2 linked regions of the Rattus norvegicus genome follow. The protein of the gene in region 1 purifies or fractionates together with the protein of each later gene. This does not show direct contact. Links are inferred from orthologs where the notes say so. Each region holds a gene or a part of one and is shown on either strand. Other genes may lie near its edges.

What was found.
Region 2: the proteins of Klf6 (region 1) and Sp1 purify together in Homo sapiens (affinity purification with western blotting, with the first as the bait; 3 studies listed by BioGRID). This does not show direct contact. The link is inferred for Rattus norvegicus from reciprocal best matches to the Homo sapiens genes KLF6 and SP1.

The regions. Positions count from the first base shown.
Region 1 is NC_086035.1:69,455,548-69,460,021, forward strand, and holds the start of Klf6 (Krueppel-like factor 6), read right to left. Parts: upstream 2,932-4,474; 5' UTR 2,790-2,931; coding exon 2,586-2,789; intron 1-2,585.
Region 2 is NC_086025.1:135,418,555-135,422,863, forward strand, and holds the start of Sp1 (transcription factor Sp1), read left to right. Parts: upstream 1-1,495; 5' UTR 1,496-1,533; coding exon 1,534-1,540; intron 1,541-1,684; exon of another isoform or gene 1,685-2,541; intron 2,542-2,882; coding exon 2,883-3,040; intron 3,041-3,321; coding exon 3,322-4,309. UniProt on the Homo sapiens protein: Transcription factor that can activate or repress transcription in response to physiological and pathological stimuli.

The DNA of each region.
Region 1 (4,474 bases):
AACTATGAGCATCAATGAGAGAGCCCCAGCCATCCACCATCCAGGAGGATTCCCACAGCAGGTCAGAAAGATTTCGCAGCTCACGGTGTGGTCTGAAGACCCTCCTTGGGGGACACAGTTGGCAATATAGGACTGTAGTCAGAATACAGACAGCAGATATCTGTCTGTATCCACTTCACAGACATCAATATAGATCTGAAAAGAAACCTCTCATTTTGCTGTGTAGCTGAGACCTAGGAGATTATATAAATATATACATATATATATACATATATACATATACACATGTATGTTTTTAAATGTCATTTCCCAAGTGCCGGACTGTGGATACCACCAAACTTTAATGATTTCTTCACACTGGCCAGAGAGAACCAAGAAATCTCAACAACAGAAATGAATTCTTTCAGAATGGCCATCTGCTATTGTAAAAAATGGAAAGGGGGAAATTACTCCCTGGCTCTTCTGGGAGTCCCACAATGAACAAGGACTTTATCTCCTGGCCAAGGGTACAACAGTATGAGTCATCACTCCTTTTTCTTTCACGCAATGCCAAAGGAGACTTCCTTTTGAAATTCTGACCAGCAGCCAAATAAGAACTCGGCTCAAATGTACATGCAGTGTGCCACGGACAGAGTGCTTGCTCCTTCCCCGGCCCTGAGACCAACCTTTCAGGGAGCTACACACTTCAGAGATTGGCAATCCCCATCTCCCTACCATCTCAAACTTTCTAGCCACTGGAAGAGAAAAATGGTAGGGAAGATTTTTAGGATTCAATTATGTGGGCCCTGATTTTTTCACTAGCTTTGCCTGCATGCCCATATAAGGCTGCCTGTGCCTCTGTGTATTCTATTCTACAGACAGAAATTTCGGCACTAAACTGCAAATATACATAGATATAGATATAGATATAGATATAGATATAGATATAGATATAGATATAGATAGTTATCAGGGCACAGACCATCTTAAGCACGGACCACCAGCCAAAGGGCTAATGCATACTTAACAATGTGCCTTCTATCACAGTATACACACATCCTCAGCCCTCCCTGTGGGCGGCTTCATACAGCAAGCATGAGCAAGCCACGGAAGGGGTGTGTGTGTGTGTGTGTGTGTGTGTGTGTGTGTGTGTGTGTGTGTACGCACATGCTTGTTTTCTCTTTCCCCACAAAATTCGATGTCTGTTACAGTGCATACAGTATTAAGAATCGAGATGATGATACCTATTATTGATGTGCCAAAGAAATGGCGAGCTCATTTATGAGGATCTTGTTAAACTTTAATCAACTGGCTAATTTAAAATCTCCATTATACTGATGAGCAGCAGTGGGGACCTGACCAAAGCTCTCTGGGAGTTTAAAAGGCTCTGAAGGGGACCAGGAGCCAAGTCTGGCTAGTTGCCCAAATCCCAAAAGCCTAAAGGAAACTACTAAGATCAATTTCAATCACGTCCCAGGGAGCAGCTTCTTTGAGGAGGAAAAATGGGGAGGGGGAGAGAAAGGCAGAGAGGATTGTGAACAATTAAGCCGGCATGTGGAGGTTTCAGCCAACACTTCGCTTTCCCTGCGTTTTAAAGCCTGGGAGGTTGTGAAACCCACGGAATATATTTCATCTGCTAATTCACTTGGAGGAAAAAAAAAAAGCCAGCCCAGAAGGGTAGAGAGATGGTCACGGAATCATCATGGTTTTAAAGACAATGGTAAAAGTGTTTGAGAATATATATATTTTTGCCACTCACAGAATCCTAAGACTTAGAAGGGGGAAGGGGTGTTTCTTTTATTTCCGTTGCCCCAAATTCTAGTTCCACTTAAATGCCGGAATTGGAGATTTTTCTTGCCCAAAGTAAGAACCGAAGCAACTAGGAATGGACTCATTGTCATATGACTGACAAGTCACTTGTGTGCAAACAGCACCCCCACACACACACACCCGCCGCGCAGTCAACAAGAAAAGCAGGTAAGAAAAACAAGGCAGACATACGTGAATGCTAAGACATTATCCAGAAGAAAAAGAAACTGTAAATGGCCTTGAGTTCAAAAAGAACCGCTGCGTTCCGCGAGCAATATCTTAAGACTTTTTTAAAAAATTGGATGTACAAATATCAAAACAAAACCAAAATCCTTAAATCAAATCTTTTGGCAGTCAAGGCAAGCTCGTTCATATGACAGGGTCCAGCTGTGGAGTTTGGAACTGGTACAAGCCCCAAAGTTGTGCCAATGGTTCAGGTCTGGATCGGCCAGAGGAATCTGGGGTCCCCCCCTCAGGTGTATGCTGCTCGGAAGCTCGGAATTAGCAAAAATGAAACAAAAACGAAGAAATAAAAACGTACTGGGAAGGAGAGCTCGCCTCCACACAAATGACAACTCTACTCCTCGCTCCCGAAGGCTCGCTCTACAGTGCCTTCACCATTCCAAGCAGCAGAAGGACATCTTAAGATCATTATTTTATTTTATTTTAAATTAGGCAAATGCTAATCATCATTAAAAAAGATGCACTTCCAAGTACACACCATCTTGCCTGCTCCTCCGCGCAACTCCCTCCTCGGCGCACCGGGCAGGTGAAAAAAAAAAAAAATCCGTATTTACCTGTTGCCAATATTCCTCCAGGGACGGCAGAGCCGAGAAGTAGCCCGTTTCGTGCACAATCTGTAGTTCCTGGAAGATGCTACACATTGGGAGCACATCCATGTCGGGTTGGAAAAGACAGTCCCCGCTGTCGGGAAAACAGGGAGGTGAACGATCAGGAGTCGGAGCAGAAACTGTTCCCGGGAGCGCAGGTGAAAGTTTCATGCAAACTGGATGGCGCTGCAATCGGACGCCGGGTCCGGACCCTCCCGCAGCCCGCAGCGCGCCGAGCCCACGCAATATTTGCAAACAGCGGACTGACTGCAAGCGTAACCCCTGCAAAACTTCCCTATTCAAAGCTCCGCTGCCAGCCTCCCCCCTCCTCCCCCGCTTGGCTCCCCCCACTCCTCCTCCCCCCACGTGACCAGCTTGGAGCTCCGCCCCCCACGGTACCCAATCCTGCCGCTCCTGTCCCGGGGGCTGCGCGACGATGATGTCAGCTCGCACCAATCGCCGGTGCGGTCACACAGCGGCCCCGCCTGGCGTGACCGAGCCTCTCCATTAAAGGCCTTCCTATTGGTGCAATTCGAACTCGGCCTGCGCTGATTGGAAAGACGTCTCGCAGGCTATTTTTAGCAGGGTATATAAGGCGAGGGCTACGGCGCGCCGAAGGAGTCGGCGCTGGGAGGTGCACAGCCTAACGTTGTAGAAGTGCGGCCGGAGCGGCCGGAGCTAGGGGAACCTGGCCGGGGCAACCGGGCACCTGTCCCCGCCGCCCGGCTGCTCGGTTGCACCTTCTGATCCGGTCACCCGGACCGGTACCCAGCAAATCAAGGGAGCAGACATATGCCCAATCCCCCTCATTCCTCCCGATAGTGGCCCGTGTTCCCGGATCCTTCCCTGGCCCTCCATTCTCCTTGATCCCCCGATTTCTCTCTTTGTCCCGAGTCCCCTCCGTACTCAGAGATGCAGAGGTGCCCCGGGGTAGGAGCAAACATGCCCTTATGTCCCCGTGTGGCAATGGGACCAAATGACCGAACAGCAGGGGGACTTGGTGCTCTAGAGTCACTGTGTGGTAGTTTCTGTCTGGATCCCTGGGGTGGAGGATGACAGGAGCCTGAAACTAAAATACCCCCACTTCCTACGCAGGCGGAGGGGGAAAAGCCAGAGCATCTCAAAAGCGCCCTACCTGACCTGTGTGTCAGATACACTCAGTTCTCAGGAATGAATTTTACCTACTCTAAGTTGGAAGTGCAGCTTTTAAGATCAAGATCGCATCGCTGACCCGGCGCCACCGCCACCCCGACTTGGAGAGCTGGACACTTACAGCTTAAAAAAAAATCCCTTTACTTGATGCACACAGTTTTAATTCAAAGAAGATGCAGATTCTGCTGCTAATGGGGTAGAAATGTGTTTATCTTTTAGAAGGCAGTCTCCAAGATGTCTCACGAAGGTTAACAGGCTTTCCCATTGTCGCGTAAACAATTTGAATTGTTTTTCATATGAATTGTCTCCCAAAGCACACCATGATATTCATTTAAAAGGAAAAACCAAAAAAAAAAAAAAAAGGAGGAAAGAGCAGCTAAAAGTTTTGAATAAAATTCCAATTATAATAACTTCGAAAATAATATTTAATGAACAGTATCCTTTTAAAAGTTATCAAACGTGTAAAATAAGTTGAAGAGAGTTTTCATATTTCATTTATGAGGTCTTGGAAAGATGCATGTATAGGCTTGACGGATTTGTAGGCAGGCTTAGTTATGAGCGCAAAGATGGGAAAAGTTATCTTACAATGCCTATTGTATGGATTATATGGAGGTGACCATTGGTCTTCATTTACCCTAGTGACAAAGAAGCAGACCTGTCCCTTACTGGGTTATGTGCCTGAATTCTGTTTCCCTGAAGGAAAT
Region 2 (4,309 bases), on another chromosome or scaffold:
GAACCTCAGTTCCTATCTTTAAAGTGTTTCAGTTTTTTAAAGGCGGATCCAGCTCCGTAATGTAGGACACATTAAGTGCTTAACTGTAGATAATGCAGTGACTATATTAATTCCAATTGTTAAACGTGGTGACAGCCGTCAATGACAAACTATTAAACAAGGAGAAAGGAGGCAAAATGGAGGCCAGAGATTGAGGTGCCTAGGGCAAATTCTCTAACCTTTTTGATTGCAAAAGTAGGTTACCGTGCTTTCTACTAGGAGGGTAAATTGAGTATTTTGAGAGCTTGGCTTCACGAAGTTCTCCAGAGTGCGTCATTCTCAAAGCCGAGTGATGGGAGTGAACCCTGCCTGGCCCGTGGTTTAGCGTGTCTGGGGCAGCTTAAGAAAATGGCGTTTGCTAGAGCTTCCCAAAAGCCTTCAGCTCAGTGGACTTGGGTTTTCGTGTGCCGTCACCAAGCTGTCGTCCCGCCCGCCGCCACAGGGCTTCCACCCACGGCGAGGGGGAGCCGCCCGCCCATCCCGGCAGGGGTGACATTCGAGAGGTGCTGTGTAGGAGCGGTGAAGGGAAAACTCGAACGGTCCCGGGTGACGCGACACCCTCGCCCTCGCGCGTCTCAGCGCTGACACTTGTGGAACTGCAAGGCTCCGCTAAAGCGTACCACCTAACGAGGAAAAGAAGCCTCTTGAGGAGGGCCAACATGGCGACCAACTCCACTTGGCACAGCCCGGTTCCCTCCTCATGAGGGGCGGCCCTCTAACGACTATTGGCCAAAGCTAGAGGCGGTGCCAGGCTGCTTTCGCTGCCTCATTGGCCTGAGTATCTGAGGGGGAAGCCTGTTCTCCTCTCCCCATTCCAAGTTCCAGCCTTCACCTTCTACTCGGCGTTTAATTGGCTGTTCATTCACGTCAATATGAGCCCTGTTCCGGTTCTTTTCAGTTGTTGTCCAATCAGAACTTTCTTAACTGCCCGCCTGAATTCTGATTGGTTTAGAAAGCTTGATCCTGTCCTATTCCGGCCTATTTCTTACTCTTCTCCTAAACGGACTTTGCCCAGGCATGCCCAAGATTCTGGTTGGTCGTTGTCCTGTCTTTCTTACCTAATCTCCTCCTATCCCCACCGCTCACGGAGCCCGCCTGGTGGTTGACTGGTTTCTCTGCAAGTCCATCTTCTCATCCCGCCCATCACCACTTCCCGAGTCTCTAATTGGTTGTTAAAACTGAGAGGGCGGCCTTTCTGGGCGGAAACCAGGCACGCAACTTGGTCTTACACGCCTCAGAGAGAGAGCGAGTCTTGCCATTGGGTAGACTGCCCGCCTTTCCTCTGCAAGTCCCTCCTTTCACCCTCCTTCATTGGGAGGGGCAGCAGATAAGGGGCGGGGACTAGGCCGGGCTTGTGGCGCGCTGCTCCCTCCTCCTTACCCCCCCCTCCCTGTCCGGTCCGGGTTCGCTTGCCTCGTCAGCGTCCGCGTTTTTCCCGGCCCCCCCCAACCCCCCCGGACAGGACCCCCTTGAGCTCGCCCCTCAGCTGCCACCATGAGCGGTAAGGATGAGTCCACTCCAAGCCTAGGGGTGGGAGGGGAGTGAGGGGGCGCGCGCGAGGGCCGACCGGGCGGTCCCCGCTGTGAGGGGGGGCGGGCGGGAGGCGGCGGCGGCGGCCTTGGTCCCGCCCGGGGCGGAGGGAAGGGAGGGAGAAGGGGCAGTGGCGGGGCCTCGGAGGAGGAGGGGGATGGGCTACCCGCCCCGGGGGAGGGGGCAGCCTGGCCTCGCCCGCCCCCTGCCCGCCCCGGCCACGGGGGACGGGCCTTACCCCCCACTACCCGGCCGGCCGCCTGAGGCTCCTCCTGTCGGGGGCTGGCGCCGCGGGGGCGGCCCGACCAGTGCAGGCCCCGCCTGGGCCAACCGCCTCCCCGGTCCGCCCTCCGGTCCCAGCCTGCTCCAGGCCCTCCCCCGCACCCCCGTAAATTTCCCTTCCCCCATCCGACCCGCCCTTGCCACGCCCCTAACCCCGAAACCGCCCCTTCCTTCTATGGCCCGGCCCCTCAGCCCCAAACCTGGGTTCTAAGCCCTAAACCATTTTAGCCTCTTACCTGCCCTCTTCAGATGTTTCCTCACCTCCACTTACAATTTACCCTTTCTCGGCCCCTTCCTGTTTTTGTTTACACTTAATCTGTCTCCATCTCTTTTAGTCCTAATTTTAGCCCACTTTCCATCCACCTATGTGTTGGGTCTCCTTTTCCTTCCAGGATGCTTTTTTGTTTTTCTTTTTGAGATAGGGTCTATGTGGTACTCGTAGTAACTCGAAGTTACTATGCAGACCTCAAACTTTTAGCTACCTAGTTGCCTGCCTCTTCCTCCTGAGTGCTGGGATTAGAGTGTGCCATCACTAGGCCCCACTTTTTTTTTTTTTTTTTTTTTAATTTCTGAGACACTGCTCTCAAATTCCCTCAAAAGTGCTGTTTGCATTGAGATCAGTTCTTACTCTGTAGGTCTGGCAGACCTAGAACCACCTGGCTCATCCTTCCAAGTCTTGGGATTATAGGTGTGAGTCACCATGCCTGGCTTCCAAAGCAATTTTTGAGTCATTTCTGGGGTTAATTTATGCCTGGGAAAATAGTGACCTGTCTTGGACACCATTAAGCCATGTGCCTGCTCTGCATGCCTATGGCTTTGGCATCTCAGTTTAATGTGTAACTGAGAATTTCTTTGAACTCTTGTCTCCACTTCCAAAATACTGGGATTTTAGGCCTACCACCATAACTAGCTGTATCTGACTAATACCTTTAAAAAAAAACATTTTATTAGTCATTGCTGGTGGTCAAAACGTTAATTTTAAATCTTAATGTTTTTCCCCCTCAACTTATTTGTTTTGTAATTATTTTTAGACCAAGATCACTCAATGGATGAAGTGACAGCTGTGAAGATTGAAAAAGGTGTTGGTGGCAATAACGGGGGTAGCGGGAACGGTGGTGGTGCCGCCTTTTCTCAGACTCGAAGCAGCAGCACAGGCAGTAGCAGCAGCAGTGGTGGCGGAGGAGGGCAGGTGAGTGATCAAAGATGGGGAAGGTATTGAAAGGGTATAAGTATTCTTAGAAACCTCCTTAACCAAAAACTCTGGGAGAAAGTACAGTAGGGAAGTACACACAGAAAGATAGGTGATCTAGAGGGTCCCCAAATAGGAAAGTTGGAACAGTACACAGAAGTTAGCATTTTGTTTCTGGTTTTTGCTCTTTATATGCCTGCATTGTTGCTGTTTGTCTGTTGAATACTGCCCCCTAGGCCAGCTATTGGGTGCCACTAACTCCTTTCCTCTCTTCTGGCCAGGAATCCCAGCCATCTCCTTTGGCTCTGCTGGCAGCAACCTGCAGCAGAATTGAGTCACCCAATGAGAACAGCAACAACTCCCAGGGTCCGAGTCAGTCAGGGGGCACAGGTGAACTTGACCTCACAGCCACACAACTTTCACAGGGTGCCAATGGCTGGCAGATCATCTCTTCCTCCTCTGGGGCTACCCCTACCTCAAAGGAACAGAGTGGCAACAGTACCAATGGCAGCAATGGCAGTGAGTCTTCCAAGAACCGCACAGTCTCTGGTGGGCAGTATGTTGTGGCTGCTACCCCCAACTTACAGAACCAGCAAGTTCTGACAGGTCTACCTGGAGTAATGCCTAATATTCAGTATCAAGTAATCCCACAGTTCCAGACTGTTGATGGGCAACAGCTGCAGTTTGCTGCCACTGGGGCCCAAGTGCAGCAGGATGGTTCTGGTCAAATACAGATCATACCAGGTGCAAATCAACAGATCATCACAAATAGAGGAAGTGGGGGCAACATTATTGCTGCTATGCCAAATCTACTCCAGCAAGCTGTCCCCCTCCAAGGCCTTGCTAATAATGTGCTCTCAGGACAGACTCAGTATGTGACCAATGTACCAGTGGCCCTGAATGGGAACATCACCTTGCTACCTGTCAACAGCGTTTCTGCAGCTACCCTGACTCCCAGCTCTCAGGCAGGCACGATCAGCAGCTCTGGATCCCAGGAGAGTGGCTCACAGCCTGTCACCTCAGGGACTGCCATCAGTTCTGCCAGCTTGGTGTCATCACAAGCCAGTTCCAGCTCCTTTTTCACCAATGCCAACAGCTATTCAACAACTACCACCACCAGCAACATGGGAATTATGAACTTTACCAGCAGCGGATCATCAGGGACTAGTTCTCAAGGCCAGACATCCCAGAGAGTTGGTGGGCTGCAAGGGTCTGATTCTCTAAACATCCAGCAGAACCAGACATCAGGAGGATCACTGCAAGGAAGTC